Linked DNA regions of Saccharomyces cerevisiae S288C. Changing the gene in region 2 together with the main gene of any one other region gives a genetic interaction. Each region holds a gene or a part of one and is shown on either strand. Other genes may lie near its edges.

Region 1 (4,874 bases), on a different chromosome or scaffold from region 2:
CTTTGAAGGATTTGCGCAATATTCAATGTGATGTTGTTACATTTGGTCAATATATGAGGCCAACCAAGAGACATATGAAAGTCGTAGAATATGTGAAACCCGAAAAGTTTGACTACTGGAAAGAGAGAGCTTTAGAGATGGGATTCTTGTATTGTGCATCTGGACCCCTAGTAAGATCGTCATATAAGGCTGGTGAAGCATTTATTGAGAACGTTTTGAAGAAAAGAAACATGAAATAATGCACACTGAAATCTAATAGTTGGAAGAAAACAATTATGGCATGGACCGCAATGTCTTTGCTTGCTGGATTATTTATTTATATCTTGTATTTTATTTATTTTTATGGTTAGTATGTTTTTGCATATTTATTTTTAACACAGAAAAGTTAGGAAACAATATCAAATATTCGATACGAATTTGTATATTTACGGTATATCCTTAATATTTTATTCTCATGACATATTAAGGGAAAAGATAAAATGCAAAAGAAAAAAATGCGTTTATTTTTTTTCATTTTCTAACAACTTGAGTAACTCCTGCTTTTCTTCTCTTTCTGAAGACAGCTGCTTGTTCAATTGCTCGATTTCTTCTGACAGAGTTTTATTTTCTAAATTTAATTGATCAAACTTATTTTGGTACTTGTTTTCATAGCCTTTTTTCAACAGTTTGACCTTTTGTTCGTGTTTGGATGAATACTGGATATACAAATCTTCTGCTAATAACTTTAGCCTTTTATTTGTATCTTTTTCTTTGGCCTCATACTTTTCTTTCCAATCTTGTACTTGTTTTCCTAATGATTTAATTTTTTCATCATCTCTATCCTTTTGATCATTGCTTAAAGTAACGCTATTATTGTTATTATTATTTTGTTCCATTAATACTTCATTTTCTTTTGTTAATGTTGTTATCCTGTCGGATGAAATCTTCAATTCATTTTGAAGAGAAATAAGGTTTTCATGAAGATTTTCCAATTCTTTGATGTGCTCAGCCTGAATGTTACTATTTTTTAGTTGTAAGCTTTCTAATTCTAGCGAAGTTTTTTCGAATTTTTGTTTCTCCAGTTCACACTCATTTTCTAGTTTATGAACTTTGTTTTCTAGTTCCGTAATTGTTTCTTCCAAATGCAATTTTGATTCCTTTAGATCTTCAATATCTCCGTTCAACTCTGTAACTTCGGCATTGCGTATCTTAGCTTCGTCTTCGACAGTTTCGTATTTACTTTGCCACATCTTAAATTCATCATCTTTTGAAGTGATCTGTTTTTTTAGCTCGTCCATTTCACTATTCAATGAATCAATTTCAGCTTCTTTTAGTTTTAGCGTCTCCTCATTTTTAATTAATTTATCCTGTACTACCTTCAAATTATCGTCGTTCAGGTTATTCAAATCATCCATTTTTTGTTGCAAGTTGTTTTTTGTAGATATTAGCTCATTAATTTGTCCTATAAGGTCAGAGTCGTTGAAGTCCTTAGAAATCGATAAAGTTTCCTTCAAACTCAATTTTAAATTATCTAGTTCGTTCTCTTTAGATTTCAAAACAATATCTGTGCTTTCAATCTTATCATTCAGTTGCACAATGCGAGAATTCAAGTCATTTAACGTGGTCTCATATTCGGATAATTTATCATTATTGCCTTTCAATTCTGCTTTCATATTTTCCAGTTCTACATTTTTATCATTTAAAATTTTCTCATTTTGCTGCAAAGTGTTGACAGTATTTTCATGTTCGCCCTTTATATGATTTACTTCAGTAATTGAGGCATCGAATTTTTCTTGTAATATTTTTTGGTTGGAATTCAATACCTTAATTTCTGTATTCAACTCCTTAATCCTCTTTTTGAATTTTTCCACCTTGGCAATATCGCTCTCTCTTTCTGTATTTAGTTTATCTAACTTTTCATTTGTCAAATCTATTAGTAGTTGGTGATTTTTGTTCAATTTCTCGTATTGAAAAGACAATGATTCATTTTTGGAAATCAAAGAGTTTAACATTTGATTTAAGTGATATATCTGATCAGTGAGCTCCTCGTTTCTTTTTGCTACAATCTGAAAATTGTCATGTCTAATATCAAGTTGGTTGTCATCATCGTAGTCATTCCTCCCCTCTTCATTTGAGTTCGACTCCCTTGCAGAAGTCTCATACAAAGGAGTAAGCCTGTTTATATGAGAATTTGTTATATCATTTTCTTCGTCCTCCTTTTCCTTATAAGCATTGTCAATATTAACCACATTGTTACTGTTAGATTTTATGAAGTCTTCCTCTTGTTGTTTCTCATTTATATCATTTTCTAATTTAAGTGTGTCGGTATTGATATTGAAACTATCGTTTCTTTCAACTCCGTCGTTTATTATGAATTTATTTGGGCTTATGTTGGTCTCAATCATATCAATCGCCATTGGAGACGACATAATTTCTTCTTTGTCATTAATGATATCTTTAGTAGAGCTTTGTTTCAAATCAGGTACTGATTCTAACTGCAATTTCAATTTTTTATTAATATGGCTACCTTCTTTATCATTTTCATCTACGTCCACGTTTTTGTCGCTTCGTTTCTCTGAGGAGTTCATTTCAACTCTGATCGGTGAATAATTCAATGCAAGGACATGCTTATCACTAGTACTTGCGCCTCCTTTATCATCATTGGTACCTGAATCTGATTTTTTGTCATCAAACATTTTATTTATGTCTATATTCTCTAATGGATTGGCATTATTCTTGTTGTTAAGAGCTGATGACCTACCGTAATCAATCGAGCGGTCTAAATCCTGCTTCTCATCTTTCTCCTTCTCGAGCGGTTCATGAGGATGTATCACGAACTGGGAGGAACCAGGAGAGTTAAAGCTGGAATCCGGTTCGGAATTAAACGTGCGTGGGTTACGTTCTTGCGAACAGTTTTCTGAATTCTGCTCGCGTTGCTGAGCTTGCCCTAAAATAAGCCTAACTGGAGTGGTAGGAACTTCGTTCATGAATTACGATATGTGCTCAAAACCTTTTTTAACTGGGTGCCCCTTGACACCAATGATGCTCTTTTTAGTTAGTGTCCTTCAAATGAACCATTAAAGAGGAACTCATCGTACACTCTGAATTATAAATAAATAAATAAAGAATATAAATTAACGCGAAAAAAAGCTTCGTCAAGTATGATGTGAGACAGTTGAAGAAAAGATGAAGAAGCCAAATAACAAGGTGGATAAAGCCATACGGCATATTATCGGGGGCAAGCTCAAAGAAGAAAAGCGATAGTATCACACAAATCAAGGCCATACACAAGGGACATCGTTGGATATCATGTCGAATGCAGAGGCCAGCAGAGTGTACGAGATTATCGTAGAGTCTGTGGTAAATGAAGTAAGAGAGGACTTTGAAAATGCGGGTATCGATGAACAAACTTTACAAGACCTAAAAAATATTTGGCAAAAAAAGCTCACAGAGACGAAGGTAACTACTTTTTCATGGGACAATCAGTTCAATGAAGGAAATATCAATGGTGTACAGAACGACTTAAATTTCAATCTTGCTACCCCCGGCGTAAATTCTAGCGAGTTCAATATTAAGGAGGAGAATACCGGTAATGAAGGTCTAATTTTGCCAAATATCAATTCCAACAACAACATACCGCACTCTGGAGAGACCAATATTAATACGAATACGGTAGAAGCAACTAATAATTCAGGTGCTACCTTGAACACAAATACTAGTGGTAATACAAATGCGGACGTAACTAGCCAGCCTAAAATTGAAGTAAAACCGGAAATAGAACTTACTATTAATAATGCCAATATAACTACCGTCGAAAACATAGATGATGAAAGTGAGAAGAAAGACGACGAGGAAAAGGAGGAGGACGTGGAAAAAACCCGCAAGGAAAAGGAGCAGATAGAACAAGTAAAATTACAAGCGAAGAAGGAAAAAAGAAGTGCATTATTAGATACGGATGAGGTCGGTTCAGAACTAGATGATTCCGACGATGACTATCTAATTTCGGAGGGTGAAGAGGATGGGCCAGATGAGAACTTAATGCTGTGCTTATATGATAAAGTCACAAGAACAAAGGCGAGATGGAAATGTAGTCTGAAAGATGGTGTGGTGACCATCAATAGAAATGACTACACATTCCAAAAAGCTCAAGTGGAAGCGGAGTGGGTATAACTAAATCTTTAGACGTAAAGAAGAAAAAATGTATATATACAAGTACTATAATATCAAACTAAAAAAACGAAATAAAGAGGGATGCAACGAACTTGGTCATCTGTTGTCAAACAGCGCTTGTATGTTCATTAGCCGAAGTGACTTTGGCTCGGTTCCATAGCTTAAGGAGTTCAGTAACACCGGAACCTACTGAAATTATTTCGTAAGCTAGCTCTGAGTTATATTTGTCCCTTTTACCTTTAATATTAATTAGATTAGACAATAAGTTTAGTATTATCTTATAAAAATCCAATGTAATATTATTTTTCCGTAACTCCAAATTGACTTTGTCATTGGTAGGTAGTTTGTACTTTAACTCGTATTCCTTTATTGCATTACCACTGGTATTATAGATACTTAAATAAATTTCATCTCTTATTAGCTGTCGCCATTGTTCAATGTTTTTATTGATAGCAAGAATATTTAAAACTTCCCATAAGATATAGTGCTGTTCTTTGACGAATGTCATTAGTCTATTAGTATTTGCATGTGATGTGTTCTTTTTACCAAACATTGATTGTAGCTTATGGAACAGTATCAACTCATCTGTCAAATTATAAAAAGCTTCAATAATGTCGAAAAACCGGAAATTTTTAAAATAAAATAAAATTGATTGATCTTTATAATGTAGTTTTTTCATTTCTCTCAACCAGCGAAATCTTTTGATAATTTTATATAAATTGATC
Region 2 (5,909 bases):
CTAGATCTTGCCAAAAATTCATAATATCGATACTTATCTTCTCTATCATCAAATTCTGTGTTTACTTTACCCTCATAAACAACCGCTAATCCATCCTTGAGCATTTCTAAGCTTAAGTCTTTCCACCCACCAAACCAGTCCCAGTATGACACTCGAGCTACACAACGGTTGTACTGATCTATAGATAAAGGCTTGACCCATACTTTCTTTCCCAAAATTCGGTTTTGTAACCAAATTAAAGCTTCATTACCAAACGGTTGAGCTGGGTTACCGAAATGTGCTCTTTCTGGGGCATCGATTCCACATAATCTTATAGGAATAGTTGGCAGGTTTTTCCTATTTTTGTAAGGTACATTTAGCTTCAAGAACTGGCTTTTAGCTTTTTGTATTTTACTTTTGGTGGACCTCCCATGCGTAATCCAATTGAAATTGAAAAACCTCATATTTCTGCTATCTCCAACAAGCTTTTCTGCCGTAGAATCATTCTTGATCATTTGTGGGACGGGTCGTAACCATCCCCATCCACCTCTTATACCACCTGGCATGTGAAAGAAATGAAAGTTGTCCCCGTCACCTACAGACGTGACTTTACCATAAAGCCAGTGTTTACGAAATATTCTTCGCGGTATATCATTTGTTCTTTTGAATTGAGTTAAATACCTTTTATATGTGTAGATCAATGTTAAGGTCGAACCCGTAAGGATGATGGAGAGGACAGCAACATCCGCAGATTTTTTTGAATTAGAATCACCTTCCCTCATATAAGTGCATTTATGCCCCCTTAATAGCTATGAAAAACTGGGCTTCTTTTTATATCATGTGTGACTTATTCTGTAATTTGTTTTTATTCTTCAACACAATTTTTTTTTTTTTGCATACCAAAGGAATCATAAAAGGTCAATGATGAAGAAAGATAAAAGAATTTTGTGACCAACAATTATGTCAGCGGATAGGAGTTTATCATATTATAAAACCGATTACTATTATCTATTAGAAATGTATATACACTTATTTGGCTTGTCGCTGTTCCCACAGACGCAATGTTATTGTTGCCAAAAAGCACGGAAGTTGACCTCTATCTTCCACCCATAGATTCATGAGATCATCCCATCCTTCTATATCTGCATCAAGGTTAGATTTCAAAGTGTTTTCATTTAGATCAGCAATCAAATATTTTTCAGGTTTGAAACAGGAAAATATTTTCACACGACTATCTTGTTGAAATTCCAATTTAAAACCTAATAATGAGTTTACAACGTCAATAAACTCCAAAGATTTATTATTGAAAACTTGCTTTAGTCTGGAAAATCTTTTATTTGACTTAAAAACTTCCTGTTCGAACTGTTTCAACTCGAAATTTAGTGAATCATAAACAGAAATGGGTACTGTTTCCACTGCTGGATTATTCTTTTTCAATTCGTTAAGTAAATCTGCATTTTCCTTTTCTAGAAGAAGTAATTTGTTTTTCTTGATAAATTGATCTTTTATGAAGGGGCCGTCACGTAATTGCAGTATACGTATTTTTTTCTCCTTTAGTTTAGTTAACTTTTCTAATTTTTCTTGTAGTAGCTGAATTGTAGTTTGTGCTTTACTCAACTCCCTCGAGACACTTACATTTTCCAGTTGCAATTCGTTGAGCCTCTGTGAATAATTTAAACCAATTTGGTCACTTGTCAACTTCCTCTTTTTTCTTTGTGTTTCTACATCATTGGAATTTGATAATAACTGATCGTTTAGCTTCTTTAGTTCGTTTGTTAAATCTTCTGTCTTATTTTTATAAGTATCGATCAAATTATTCATATCTTCGTTTACGTTCTTGTTTGACGCATGTGTTTCACTATTTTCGACCTCTAGTAAAGCATTATTTTGTGCGGAATATAGGCCATCTAATTGTTCGCGCAGTAATCGACATTCTTCGAAAGATAAACTCTTCTGTTGTTCTAACTCGTGATTTAATCTTTTCAAATTTACTATGTTGTTTTCATAATTCTTGTTCAAATCTAGTATTTGGTTTCTCTCTAAAGCCATTTCATCATTCAGTAGCTTTAAATTGTTATTGTCCAATCTTAACTTATCATTCATATCTGTCAAAATTAAACATTCCTTTTTGGTAAGTTTCCAGTCCCGGATAATCTCTTCAGGGTTATTTCTTATGTTATTTTTGGTTCTGTTGTTATTATTAATATTGTTGTTATTACTTGTATCATTATTATTATCATTATTATTATCATTTTTATTATTATTATTATTATCATTGTTGTTAACATTGTTATCATCATCATCGTCACTATCATTATAAATTTCCCATTTGGTTAATTTCGATTTTAGATCTATGTTTTCCAATTGAAGATTTTCATATTGACTTTCGAGTACGTGTAATTGACTTAATTTGTTTTGTAGTTTTTCATTTTCTAATTTCCAAAAAGTAGAAGTGTCCTGGGATTGTTTAAGTTTTTTCAATTCATTGGCTTGTTGCATGTTCGCTAGTTCCAATTCTTTAGTATACTGAACTTGGTCTTGGATCATTTTGTTCATTTCAGTGAGCTCGTTGAACTCTTCGGTGGAGTAGTTTGGATGTGAGTTTATCATCTTAGATGCTTTTACCGAAGATAATTCATCATCCTTTTCCATCACTTGATGCTGCAAATCTTTGATATCCACACTTTGCCTCTTTATTTCTTTCTCATATTTCATCAGTAGCGAATGAGAGCTCTCTGCTTCCAACTTGAAATGGTCACATTGGTTAGTGACCTTTGATAACTTCGAATCATACTGCTGCCTTAAAGTCTCCATTTCTAAATCTTTGTTTTGGAGGGTTGTTCGCAATTCCTCTATGCATTTGTCTTTATCATTCATCGAATTAGCTGATCTTTCTTTCAAACTCTTTAACTCTTGCTCCAATTTATCATTGCTTTCATAAAGATATTTTGTATCATTCAATGCTTTCTCTAATTCGTCAATCGTGGCCTTATATTTCTTTTCTAAGATATTCGTCTGTTTTTGTAGCTGCAATTTTTCAATCTCATACTCATTTTGTAGAGTATTGAGCTTGAATTGTAACGCCTGAATCTGACGATTACTTTGTCCATTTGTACTGCCTACGTCGGGCGAACCTCCAGGGCTTTCCAAGAAAGGAGAGGACCCACCACTATTGCTCATTTTGTACTGGATAGAATAGATCTCTAGTCCCAATTTTTTTCCAGTGAATCGTCCACTCAATGCACTGAAGAAACATTGCAATGCCGCTCTCACATCCATTATTTACTATTACCTCTCGATTTTAAGATGGAAAAAATTGTTAGGAATTATTCCTAGGGTAACACGCTATCAATTTTCATTGCTCCTTTAGCGATAAATAAGAGACTAAAATAAGATCAACTTCCTACACAATCTCTGCTCATTACATTTCGATGTCGTGGTGAAATTCTTATTCTGTATATGCAACGTAGAAGAAAGCAGCGTTTACACAAAAATGTCAAAAGTGTATGTTATTATAAGTTTTGAAAGGGATTTCAACATATACTAACAAATTCTTGAAATGTACCCTCACTGTCCTATTGTAAATCAGACCAAGAAATTTTAGGTTGTTAGAAGAATTAGAAAAGGGTGAAAAAGGGTTTGGTCCAGAATCATGTAGTTATGGTTTAGCTGATAGCGACGATATTACCATGACCAAATGGAACGGCACTATTTTAGGGCCCCCTCATAGTAATCATGAAAACAGAATCTATTCCCTTTCTATAGATTGTGGCCCAAACTATCCAGATTCTCCCCCAAAGGTCACTTTCATTTCCAAGATAAATCTACCATGCGTCAATCCAACTACGGGGGAGGTCCAAACTGACTTCCACACCTTACGTGACTGGAAAAGAGCCTACACCATGGAAACTTTATTACTTGATCTTAGAAAGGAAATGGCAACCCCAGCGAACAAGAAATTGCGTCAACCGAAGGAAGGAGAAACCTTTTAGTTATCTACTTTTTCCTAAACAGTATTTGCAGCATTCCAAGCCACTCATATATACAAGCAATAAGACATAGATATCCTCTTATTTAGGTAGTAAGTTTAATTACTTTCATAATATGAATTTACTCACCCCATGCCGAGAAGTTACTCGTGCAATTCACTACGATAATGATGTATATAGTTGTATTATCAATCCTTGCAACGGTCCTCATCCGGGCACACGAAGGTAAACCCTTAGATCTGCTAAAAAACAGACGACAGAAAGACTGTTGCACCCAAGATCGATAAATTTGTTCTCCAGTCCAAGCCAATAATAAATATATTGCAACACCAATCCACATTCTTCATGGGTCAAGAACGCCCCGGAGGGGTTCAACCTCGACGAGATACTGTACGTGTTACGAATGGCTGTTAAATTTGCGTTACTGTTATAAAATAACACTAAAATAAGAAATGGAAAGTAAATAAATAGTAAAGGAAAGTCAAATAAAGCAATGAATGCTGCATTGATCTGCCTTTTATAGCTAAGAAAAAAAAAGAGAAAAAAATAATAAGTGCGGGTAACCTCATGCATTGTAAAACGGTAGGGCTACAAGGCACTACTTACTCTACGCTATAGAAGAAGCTTCAAGACATGGTGTTGTTCTTATTTGAGCGAACTCAGCTGTCACCGTTTCGGGAAACTCTATAGTTTTCTGCGTTTCAGTACGCAGTTGGGCGTGCTAAAGTTGTTTTCCTAATTTGCTAGTGTTCACTTGCTCATTGATGTCCCTAAAAGGTAATGTCGCATAGTAAGATGTATGTCCCATATCAAACGCATTCCTAGAAAAACATGCACTGAATGAATAAGCAGTTACTTCGATTACTAATCTTCACAGCATAATTTTTCTCTTATCTTGTAAACCTCTTTCTATCTTTTCATAAAGTTTGTCACTTATATTTCTTCATTGGTACATCAATGCCAGCAACGATGTGCGCATCTGGGCGACGCCTGTAGTGATTGTTTTCAAGGTATCGAGCCAAACTATTCATCGTTACTGTTTCAAATATTCAGTTGTTTCAGTACAGAGTCGCCGTGGACCTAGTGAAACTTGGTGTCTTTACAGCGCAGAGACGAGGGCTTATATGTATAAAAGCTGTCCTTGATTCTGGTGTAGTTTGAGGTGTCCTTCCTATATCTGTTTTTATATTCTATATAATGGATAATTACTACCATCACCTGCATCAAATTCCAGTAAATTCACATATTGGAGAAAATGAAATTCATTTCTACCTTTCTCACTTTTATTTTAGCGGCCGTTTCTGTCACTGCTAGTTCCGATGAAGATATCGCTCAGGTGCCAGCCGAGGCCATTATTGGATACTTGGATTTCGGAGGTGATCATGACATAGCTTTTTTACCATTCAGTAACGCTACCGCCAGTGGGCTATTGTTTATCAACACCACTATTGCTGAGGCGGCTGAAAAAGAGCAAAACACCACTTTGGCGAAAAGAGAGGCTGTTGCCGACGCTTGGCACTGGTTAAATTTGAGACCAGGCCAACCAATGTACAAGAGAGAGGCCAACGCTGATGCTTGGCACTGGTTGCAACTCAAGCCAGGCCAACCAATGTACTGAAAAATGACCCTAAACTACTTCTAAACCCTCTCGATTTCTTTCACGTTCATACAACACCTAGTTTTATTTATTTTCTTTTCAATCTGAGTAGTTGAGTTTTCGATCACTCACATAGAACTATTTTTTGCCATTTAAATAAAGTATTCTCTCAAATGATGCGATACTATAATACTCTTTGCCATATATTACATTCATTCATAAATAGGCTATGTTTCTATATCCGTTTCCGATTCTGTCTGCAAGCAAGGTTCCCTATCATTACCGGATTGTTCACTATGGTTGGAGCTCTTCTTTTCCCCTGCACTTGCATCAGTCTCAGATTC

The links.
Region 1: mutations in MAD1 (region 2) and SLK19 together harm fitness more than expected from each alone (negative genetic interaction), as found in Saccharomyces cerevisiae (6 studies listed by BioGRID, with this or other methods).

The regions. Positions count from the first base shown.
Region 1 is NC_001147.6:710,958-715,831, reverse strand, and holds SLK19 (Slk19p), read right to left. Parts: upstream 2,967-4,874; coding exon 501-2,966; downstream 1-500. Other genes in the region: LIP5 (lipoate synthase), read left to right, coding at 1-239; TOA1 (transcription initiation factor IIA large subunit), read left to right, coding at 3,289-4,149; PEX27 (Pex27p), read right to left, coding at 4,256-4,874. UniProt on the Saccharomyces cerevisiae protein: Has a role in spindle assembly and stability. Required to ensure a timely exit form mitosis. Essential to maintain pre-anaphase spindle polarity. Associates to the plus ends of the microtubules at the kinetochore and spindle midzone.
Region 2 is NC_001139.9:344,468-350,376, reverse strand, and holds MAD1 (coiled-coil domain-containing protein MAD1), read right to left. Parts: upstream 3,259-5,909; coding exon 1,009-3,258; downstream 1-1,008. Other genes in the region: LCL3 (Lcl3p), read right to left, coding at 1-761; E2 ubiquitin-conjugating protein MMS2, read left to right, coding at 3,473-3,483, 3,569-3,971; YGL088W (uncharacterized protein), read right to left, coding at 4,176-4,541; MF(ALPHA)2 (Mf(Alpha)2p), read left to right, coding at 5,224-5,586; LIF1 (Lif1p), read right to left, coding at 5,793-5,909. UniProt on the Saccharomyces cerevisiae protein: Central component of the spindle assembly checkpoint. Thought to recruit MAD2 to unattached kinetochores. During checkpoint activity, MAD2 is relayed from the MAD1-MAD2 complex to the mitotic checkpoint complex (MCC).